Danio rerio: one gene and its partner. The protein of the gene in region 1 interacts with the protein of each later gene in a pairwise test. Links are inferred from orthologs where the notes say so. Each region holds a gene or a part of one and is shown on either strand. Other genes may lie near its edges.

Region 1 (4,668 bases):
ATTTGAATTAAGTTATCATTTTGAGTAAAGGCACCATTCAAACTTTTTATCTCGTAATTTTGATTAAGTCCTAACAATAAGCAGCATTATTAATGCTGAATATATAAGTTTATGTTAGAGATTACTTCAAAAATAGAAAATATTCCTCGTACTTGAGGACTGATAAAATAAATAAAAGTAAAACATAATAGTATTTTTTTTAGACACATGCTTATCTATTACATATCTATTAGATCACAGTTGTTTTCCATTTCATTACATTGAGCTCTCTTGGCCACTGTAGATCTGAATTAAATCAAAATTATGAGAATCGAATTGGGATATAAGAATCAACACACAGCTGTAATTGCTGCTGAATGAATACAAGCTTATATAGCAGGCTTTACTTCATAAACCAGAAAGAGGACTCACAACATAAATAAATAAATAAATAAATGAAAAAAAAATGTTTTATACAAACTGCTTAAATAAATGTGTGCAATACCTAACCAGTCTTGTCGTCGATCCCAGTTGTAAGAGCATCAAATAATAACTTGACTTCTAGTTGATCATTTGGAAAAGTGGCAGAAAGTGGATTTTTCAGATGAATCATCTGTTGAACAGAATCACAATCATCACAAATACTGCAGAAGACCTACTGGAACCTGCATGGACCCAAGATCCTTAAATAAATCAGTCAAGTTTGGTGAAGGAAAAATCATGGTTTGGGGTTACATTCAGTATGGGGGAGTGCGAGATGTTCTGCAGAGTAGACGGCAACATCAACAGCCTGAGCTATCAAGACATTTAATACATTTAATAAGACAGTTGATAGCGCTCCTACTTCAGCCTCCACATCAAAGTTCCTGAAAGCAAAGGTGGCCAAGGTGCTCCAGGATTGGCCAGCCCAGTCACCAGACATGAACATTATTGAGCAAGTCTGGGGTAAGATGGAGGAAGCATTGAAGATGAATCCAAAGAATCTTGATGAACTCTGGGAGTCCTGCAAGAACGCTTTCTTTGCCATTCCAGATGACTTTATTAATCAGTGATTAGAGTCATTGCAGAGATGTGTGGATGCAGTCCTCCAAGCTCAGACACAATATTCATTCTGTTTCCACTGCAGCATGACTTCATATTCTATACTGGACATTATTTCTGTTAAGTGACAAGACTTTTGTCTAAGCAAAGTCAGGGCTTACTGTCTTAATTAAATAATTAAAAATCAACTCATGATCATATTTTTGGTAAAATACGTGTAATCTACAGGCCTTTGCCTTTCACATAAGCCACTTCTGATACTAAATGACCCACTAGAAGTCAAGTTATTATTAGTCGTTCCTAAAACCTGGAAAAGCGACAAGACTTTATTCAGGTAGTGTATTGGATCACAGTTGGTTTCCATTTCATTAATTAATCAATCAATCCAAAGTGGCTCAAATCAATAGGTTAACAATCATTTTATTCAAGCAGAACACAATGAGCCGAAGTACAGATGTGGAAGCAGTGAACGTTGTATCTCTGTGCCAGTAAAAGCTTATCTGGGAGTTTCAGTGGTGCTGCTCGGCATCGGGCTCCTCCGGAAGCGTCTGTGTGTTTGCAGCAGGAGTTCCCATTAGCCCTCCGTCCTGAGCTGTGTTATAAGAGCCACAACTGCTGCACTTCATGCCCAACACGTGAAAGGAGACGGTGCTGCGAGCCTGACAGTCATTGCATATGATCTGAAGAAAATAACACACACATGGGTCAGGAGAAAAAGGTTTTCCACTAATCAAAACAACCTAGGCCTGACACAATAATCAATATACATATGGACATTTCGCTCAACACACGGACATGACCGCAATCATTTTTGGTGATGCAATACATACAGTTGAAGTCAGAATTATTAGCCCCCCTGAATTATTAACCCTGTTTATTGTTTTCCCCAATTTCTGTTTAATGGAGAGCAGATTTTTTCAACACATTTTTTTATCATAATAGTTTTAATAACATCTCTAATAACTGATTTACTTTATCTTTGTCATGATGACAGTAAATAATATTTGACTAGATATTTTTCAAGACACTTCTATACAGCTTAAAGTGACATTTCAAGGCTTAATTAGGCTAATTAGGTGACTAGACAGGTTAGGGTAATTAGCCAAGTTATTGTATCCGCTTGTTAAGTGTGACGTCACGCGGAGCGGCTTCCGGGTCCAAGCGCTCTATTCAACTGAATGGGGAGATTCATGAAATGGTAATAATAAACGTTTACAAAGCGATTTAATACTTTCGAAAATCTCGATCGGAATATATATGTCCATGCCTAATATCCAATGGCCAGAAAGTGATTCATTGTTTTATAAATTGTTAAGATTTTGGTATTTGTTATGCAGCAAGCTCAGAGATTGTTGTGTACACTATGACTTTATGTAAAATTAACTTTAATGTGTGATAGGAATAAAACGTGATCATAAACGAATGATTTCTTCACTCAAATGAATGGCGGCTTGGACCCGGAAGCAGTATACATACGTCATAAACACATCACCACTTAACAATAACGATGGTTTGTCCTGTAGACTATCGAAAAAATATAGCTAAAAGGGGCTAATAATATTGACCTTAAAATGGTGTTTAAAAAATTAAAAACTGCTTTTATTCTAGCCGAAATAAAACAAATAAGACTTCCTCCAGAAGAAAAAATATTATCAGACATACTGTGAACATATCTTTGCTCTGTTAAACATCATTTGGAAAATATAAAAAAAGGAAAAAAAAGAAATTAAAGGGGGCTAATAATTCTGACTTCAACTGTATATATTGTCCATACATAAAATCCAATTCTAGCAACCCTTTAGCGGACTGTGCAACATCTCTCTCTCTATTGCAGGTGTCAGTTTCAGTATGGTTAAAAAAAGCACTATAGTGTTTACTACAAATTACTATAGTATATTTTGATTTGGGTGTCTGACAACTGAAAATAGATCTGGTAGCAGATATCACAGCCTCTGTGACTTTACCTTACACCGTTTGTTAACATTTATTTTTATTTATTTAGGATGTATTTTCACATTCAATGCCTAATTCCTAAACTGTTAAAATGACTAAAAGTAAATTAAATATTCTTAGGAATAAAATATGATCTTGGAAGAGTATACTCGCATTATGTTGATATTATATTGTCATTCTGGCAATCGAATTTACGAATCGTAATCGTAAATTCGAAATATATTTTGATGCTGTATATCACACAAGAAAAAAACTAGATATTGTGCCCCCTCTACACTAGTGCGTTTTAGTTTTAAAACAGCATTTTAGAATAAAAACGATCCGCATCCTCACTAGCGTTTCACCCAGCGTTTCTGAACAGCTCTCCGTCTACACCAAAACGACGGAAAACGCACATTACATGACCACACACACACACACTCTGGCATGCGCTGCAGCAAATCGAGTCAGATGAGAGCTGTGCTCGTCAGACTCATCAAGGGTCTCAAACTAGATCTAATCTCACTATATTTGTTAATCGTGATATTTCATTTATCTTGTTGTCTTTGTTTAATGACATACTCCTGACTTTGGTCTCTTGAATCTGTTACTTGTTCTCAGGTAACGTGTTTTGGCTGAGCGTAAAGATAGGTTAATAATTAATGTAATGTATTGTACATTATACTTTTATAATGGCCATTATTGATTATGAAAACTCATATTCAGCAGAAGAGAGGGAATGTTTTGTACTGAAGATGAAAGGAGGCAGAAATGTTATAGGCTCCGTTTTGTTATAAATATCCACACAGTGAAGATGAAGCTCATATATGCAGCACGACGCCTCAACATTTCTGCTGTCTGTTAAGTTGTTAATATCAAAATGAAAATAGGCAGTTCCTTAAATCATGCTTTCATTTTATTGTTGAGAAAGTGAAACAACATAGCCAGGATGATGTGAATGAGGTTATAAAGTTAACTGTTCCCATTGAAGATTTACCGGACATGTCCTCGGGAGTCTGTTTTTCATATCAAACTTGCGAAGTCTGAACTTACAACGAGAGGATGCAAGAACTGTGTGTAGGCTACTTAATATTGAGGAAAAGCCCCAATCAGATAGGTGAATGCCCACCTCCGTTTTCAGATGTCTCCATTTTCCCCCATCCACACTGAGATGGAGCAGCAGCGTTTTAGAATGAAAAGGGCCTGTCAGCGTTTTCGGCATTTGAAAACTCCGGCGTAGTGTGGACTGATGGCGTAGCCGTAGCAAAATGTATGCGTTTTAAAAAGAAAACGCATTAGTGTAAATGGGGCCTGTAACATTGACCATGCCACCCTCTCCAGCCTATTCACTTTAATATACTTTCCCTTTTCTCTCTCTCTTTTAAATTGTTCTTTTATATTTTGCGATCATTTTTTTATTTTACTTAATACACCATGCTGTCAACCTCAACTTTCAGTACTGAACTGTATATATGCTTAATCTGTCATAATTACTTTGCATGTCAAATATTCTTTGTTGTCCAATGTGTAGGTTATAATGTGGTCTATTTATTGTTTTTTTAAATAGAATTTTACTGTTATATATTTACTTTCTTGTCTATTTGTGCTGTCATTTTCCCAAGGATTCCATATCCGGGACCAGGCCATATCCTGAGCTGCTGCTGCGCTGATGGTCGTGGGGAGTGGAGAACATGAGTCTGATTCCAGCGATGCTCC
Region 2 (6,542 bases), on another chromosome or scaffold:
GCCCATTGTAAGTATGCCTCAACCTACATTATCGTAAAATGTAAAATCATTATGTTGCTCGTTTCAGATGACAAATCTACTAGAGAGCACTTTTGTGAATCAGAAATACTTATGGTTCTTTTTGTTGTATTTTTCAGCTACACATTCACATTCTTCTTTTACATGTCCACGAGAAGAACTAGACCAGTGAATCACTGACCTTAACCAAATCAATAGTTTCCAAAGCAAACGTTAGACAAAAGTGCTCTGCGACCACATAGTTATACATTGCGTTTATCTCTTTGGAAACCCGAGTACTCTACTGAGGAAACTGACCATGCCAGAAAATTGTCCATAAGAAATGGAACAGGTAAGGCAAATGTTTTTAGTAAAAATCTTAAACATTGTTGTATTTATTTGAAGAACATACATAAAAACTGCAAGAAAATTGTTTTAAAAAAGTTCGGTATGAGCATGCACTTTGAAATGAATGGCATTAAGCTTAGGGGCCATCCAAATGTATTATTTCCAATGTGGCCCTTTTTTACTTATTTTGTTTTTTACTATTAAAACTATTTGCTTTAGTAATGTCAGTCAATTAAAATAAAGTGGTTAAATGATAATAAAATTTAAAAAACAATTATGGACTTTATTTCTAAATGGATTGTTAAAAAATATGACGTAATATTAGATACTGAATTATATAAAACATTATATCTTGATAATTTGTTTTGCCGTATTGTCTAGCCCAGACTAAAGCATGTATTTCCAATGAGGCAGCGTTGGTATTAGCAGTCTGTTTGCTTTAAAGGTGCTAATAGGTTGCTGGATAGATGGGCTTCAAAAAAAATTCTAATGATCATTAACTTTGCAAGGACATGTCGACGATGTTCCACTAGCCCTAACCCTAACCTATCAATCTATTAATACTCTACTAAAACTCTAATGAGTGTTAGTTGATATGTAGTTGCAAAGTTACTTAGTCAACACACCGTCTAAAGAAAACCATCAAAATAAAGTTTAACCAGGTTTTGAATTCTTTGTGCCAGTCTTTGCTGTATGGAATTTTACATCATATATATAGCACAATATATTTTATTTGATAAAAGATATATATATATATATATATATATATATATATATATATATATATATATATATATATATATATATATATATATATAAATAAAACATAATAGTTTTAAAAACCTATCTCTAATAACTGATTTCTTTTATCTTTGCCATGATGACAGTAAAAACTATTTTACTAGATGTTTTTTAAGACAATTCTATACAGCTTAAAGTGACATTTAAAAGCTTAACAAAGTTAATTAGGGTAACTATACTCTATATGAATTATAGAGTAATTCGGCAAGTTATTGTATGATGATTATTTGTTCTGCAGACTATCAGTAAAAAATATACCTTAAAAGGGCTGAAAATTGTGTCCTGAAAATAGCTTTTAAAAAATTAAAAACTGCTTTTATTCTAGCCAAAGTAAAACAAATGATTTTTTTCCAAAAGAAAAAAATATTATCAGACATACTGTGAAAATTTCCTTGGTCTGTTAAACATCATTTGGGAAATATTTAAAAAAAAGAAAACCAAAATCAAATAATAATTCTGACTTCAACTGCAAATATTTTAAAAAGTTTATGCGTTATGTAAGTGTTTATTAATGTAATTAAGCAGTGAGAGTTCAGTTAATTGCTCAAAGTGTCTTATGAAAATAAGGAAGGCTTGCAGAATGGCTCACTGAATCAATCAGTAAATCAATAACTTTTCCGTTTTCTCAGAACACTGACCTCTGAAGAAGCTTTATAAAATCGACAGAATTATCATTGGAAACTAGCCTATAGTGAAACAGTTGGTTCATGATTATCCATCCTTGAACCAACCAATACAACATAAAAAAATAATAATGAATGAGAGAATATGAGGATAAAGCTATTTTTCTGTCTTGGAAAGCAGCACAGTCTCCTGCTCTCTTCGTCTGCCTCATATGCACAGGTGCAGTGTTTTAGACAATGTCCCCTGGACTCTCACTGACCCTCAGCTGCACTTTCCGCTTTAAACCTTTAATAATACATGCAAAAAGAATATTAAATCATCTTTGCTAACTGTATTACAGTAGTTTATATCCAGATGCCTCAGGTATAAAGTCTCTCCGTGTTGAAAGTAATTTTTGTAGGCCTATTAGTTAAGACTTATAGTATATAAAAAAGGCAACATCAACGCTTTAAAAATAGCTAATTTATTCACTCAAACAGCTATCACAGCGTGTAGCACACCAGATCTTCATTAGTCTATTTTTTTGTACTTATTTTTGTTTGGCTGAAATAACAGATTAATACTTGTATGAGTTTTGAGTATGACCATAGAATACTTCCAAATACTCCAGTACTACTTGAATTGAAATAGGCCAATTATTAGTTCTTAAAATACTTTAAGTGTGACAGTTGTAAACTTAATTTCTACATCTAATATTCTACATTCCACTCTATCTATCTATCTATCTATCTATCTATCTATCTATCTATCTATCTATCTATCTATCTATCTATCTATCTATCTATCTATCTATCTATCTATCTATCTATCTATCTATCTATCTGTCTGTCTGTCTGTCTGTCTGTCTGTCTGTCTGTCTGTCTGTCTGTCTGTCTGTCTGTCTGTCTGTCTGTCTGTCTGTCTGTCTGTCTGTCTGTCTGTCTGTCTGTCTATCTATCTATCTATCTATCTATCCATCCATCCACAATGAAGTTGACAACTTACCTCAATAGGCAACTGAGCAGGTTCACAAAAACAGTGCACTTTAACTCCACCTAGTGTTCATTGTTCAGATGTGGGAATCACAGGAAGTACTGTTTACTAGGCCCGTTTGTACAGGCACAGTAGGTGTTTGTTCAAGGTTACAACGCGAAATAAAAAAGTAGGGTACAGTCATGTTTTACTTATTGGGCCTGGATAACGAGCAAGATAAGGTTGCATCCCGTTTGGAGGGACGGGGAATATATATAGGTGAGATATTCCCGCTCAAACCCTCAGCACTTCAGGGTCAAATGAAAATTGCTTAAGCAATTTGGCAGCTGCACATTTGCCTAAATCTGAAAATAATACCCACATGGTTTATGCACATTGTGAATTAAATTGATGTTGGAAAGTCGGACTATTTACTGGGGTATCTGTACCTTATTGTTACTGTTTACCGTTTGTTTTGCTGCAGTCTGTTTGCAATCAGAATGAGCTGTAGAGTTATTTAGGTCTGTATCCGATTCCCGGATAGTGTTTTTTTAGTGTTTTCATGTTTTAAGACAACTTAGAGATTTTTTTTTATTATTAGTATGTGGCTTTTCATCGCCAAAAACACGTTGTGAATTGTGTATTATAGCTGCTTGCTATTAATATTATTTTGGCTTTAACAACAAAACAATTATATTTTACCTAGCAATTGGTGTATGTTAGATTTGAGTGTTTTTCAGAATAGGTCTTCTACTTCAGCAGCACTTACACATTTTTTTTCATATGAGTTTTTTTCTTTCTTTTTATAAAGGGTTATCGTTATAAATTTACAAATTTATATTGTGCATACAATTCTACAAATTCTGAAAAGAAGCATTTTTGAAAAAATGTTAAAAACAGAAAAAAGTTTGTACCTGAGATTATTCAGTGTTCAAATTTTTGTGCTAGACATACAGTTGAAGTCAGAATTATTAGCCCCTCTGAATTATTAGACCTCTTATTTATTTTTCCCCAATTTTTGTTTAATGGAGAGCAGATTTTTTTCAACATATTTCTAAACATAATGTTTTTAATAACTCATTTCTAATAACAGATTTATTTTATCTTTACCATGATGACTGTAAATAATATTTTACTAGATATTTTTCAAGACACTACTATTTAGCTTAAAGTGACATTTAAAGGCTTAACTGGGTTAATTAGGTTAACTAGACAGGTAAGGGTAATTAGGCAAGTTATTGTATAACAGTGTTTTTTTCTGTAGACTATCGAGAAAAAATATAGCTTAAAGGGAGTAATAATTTTGTCTCTAAAATGATGTTTTTTAAAAAAACTGCTTTTATTCTAGCCTAAATGAAACAAGTAAGATTTTCTCCAGAAGAAAAAATATAATCAGAAATACCGTGAAAATTTCCTTGCTCTGTTAAACATCATTTGGAAAATATTTTAAAAAGAAGAAAAAAATTCAAAGGGGGCTAATAATTCTGACTTCAACTGTACATGTAAACTAACACCTACTTCATGACCTCATTTGCATATTCAAAGATAACATTTGAGAAAGCGGGTAATACAAAAAAGATCATTTCTAATTTTATCAATCTACTGATGAAGTATGATGACAACTATTGACATTATTTGGTTTTCTTATGGCTATAGATCAGGCATGTCCAAAGTCAGTCCTGGAGGGCCTTTGTCCTGCATATTTTAGTTCCGATCTTAATTAAACACACCCGAACAAGCTAATCAAGCTCTTTCTAGGTATACTAGAAACTTCCAGGGATGTGTGTTGAACGAAGTTGGAGCTAAACCATGCAGGACACCGGCCCTTGGGGACCGAGTTTGGACACTCCTGCTATAGATGATCTGAATATGATTTCTTCACATATCCTATTGCATTTGAACATTAAGCAGTACACAAGTATTACATTACAAACATTTCCCAGCTCTGCTGTCATTTCCTGGGTTTAGATCCTGGATTTGAGGATTTCAGCTTTATGCAGCTTTTATCCAGTTTTATTTCAATGTAATCCAATGGGCCATACCAAAAATGCCTGAATCATTAGACCCTTTTAAAAGTAATCAAAAATTAACATTCTGTACTATTTTTTCACAACAAACCACCAAACATTATTTTAAAAAGTGATAATGCTTTTTTCTTTCTAGACTGAAGCATCATAATGTTCAGGCACAGGGTAATGTTGCAGAAAGTCCTGCTAAAACAAGTTCACCACATCCTGTCTCATATTCAAGCTCTGAGCTTGGACACGCATTCACAGAAAAAAATTAAATGCGATTTATTACTGATTATCCCAGCAGGGAGCCAGGGAGCCGGATACAAAGAATGAAATAAGCTTTGTTTCATTCTGAGACACTTTCTTGTGGAAAACCATACATTTTCTCTTTGATTTCAGAATAAATTCTGTTCCACAATAACCTGTTGGGTGACTGTTCCAGACATCTAATGGAGCAGCGGTGGCATTTACAAGAATTCTCTACTGAGGGTGTCAGCCATCATTTCAATCTCAGCTGAGAGCTTGTCAGGTACTGATTTTGTCTCCTGCTTAACACACACACACACACAAAAAAAAACTACTGCAACTTTTTTGTTAAGTTTCTGTGATCCTGGAGTCCAATATTTTGCTGTGCTTTTTACCAAACCTCTTACTTAAATTAAATCTTCAACCTAAATATGAATAATCTAGGGCTTCACATTAACCCCTGCCAAATGCGGGTTGGTTTCACCTGTGGCGGGTTAGACAGACACCCTCTCTAGCTACTATGGCTAGTTAAAGAAAGTTTTCTGTGCTGGCTCGTCCTACTTTTCAAGAGCTTAAGATGTAAGCAGCAGCGGTTGACGCTTTTACTTTGACCATTCTTTGAACAGATTATTAAAGAGCCTAACATAAACTGTGTGTCGTGATCATCCTTTCTCTATCACACAGAATATTTTCACCAGCTTTATTTTGCTTGCAGTTATTTTTGTTAGTATGGTTTAATTATCCTCTTTTACAATAGCATTGCTCTATCTAAATTAAATCACACATTTTTACAAAGTTGTTATTCAGAATTCAGATTTTCATTTCTGGACATATTGTTCTTTAATATCTTTATCCTTGTTTTGTGCGACATGAATTTTTTTGAAGTTGTAAATGGATTATTGGAGTGCATTTTTATACAGTTATTCTACTTTAAAAAGTCTTGTTGAATTAAGTGTGCTATTTTCCATTTTGTTGTACTTTATTAAATGTACCAGTAATTCCTGAGTGACTGATTTTGTGACTGATGCTGTTGCAGAGCTTATTTGTCACACATGCATGTGTGCATTAGTATTGCAATAGTCCTGATAAATCCAAGGGCCGCATTTGGAGGATATGAATTAGATAAGACAACAAAACTAATTAAAGGTTAAGCAAAAGATAATGATGTTATTTTTGTGCCCAATCACAGTAATTACGCAACCAGAAAAATACACGTTGGTCTACTGCAACTTGACATACCGAACAGATTTTGAGGCTATATTTGGATAATTGAGCTCAGGCAAAGGTCTTTAAGAGTTATTGGGCAATTTCTCTGAGGCAAACATTGAGAGTAGTGGTTACAAATGCAAATTTTGTCTGATGACTTACCTCTGTGGATTTCTTTCACTGTGTTTGTGCACATTTTGCTACATATGTTTTCGTTCGTTTTTTTACTTATTTTTCATTACTGAATTACTGATTTCATACCTTAAACACTGTGCTAAAATTGTAGGCACATTAGATGCACATTTCATTTTAAAAGTGGTTTAAATGTTTCCTACTTTTATATATATATATATATAT

Evidence for each region.
Region 2: the proteins of rchy1 (region 1) and aig1 interact in binary tests that used the Homo sapiens proteins (3 or more experiments, as listed by UniProt). The link is inferred for Danio rerio from reciprocal best matches to the Homo sapiens genes RCHY1 and AIG1.

What each region holds. Positions count from the first base shown.
Region 1 is NC_133180.1:9,857,927-9,862,594, reverse strand, and holds the end of rchy1 (RING finger and CHY zinc finger domain-containing protein 1), read right to left. Parts: intron 1,701-4,668; coding exon 1,530-1,700; 3' UTR 1,423-1,529; downstream 1-1,422. UniProt on the Homo sapiens protein: E3 ubiquitin-protein ligase that mediates ubiquitination of target proteins, including p53/TP53, TP73, HDAC1 and CDKN1B. Mediates ubiquitination and degradation of p53/TP53; preferentially acts on tetrameric p53/TP53.
Region 2 is NC_133195.1:40,767,383-40,773,924, forward strand, and holds the start of aig1 (androgen-induced gene 1 protein), read left to right. Parts: upstream 1-2,807; 5' UTR 2,808-3,000; intron 3,001-5,132; 5' UTR 5,133-5,262; intron 5,263-6,542. UniProt on the Homo sapiens protein: Hydrolyzes bioactive fatty-acid esters of hydroxy-fatty acids (FAHFAs), but not other major classes of lipids. Show a preference for FAHFAs with branching distal from the carboxylate head group of the lipids.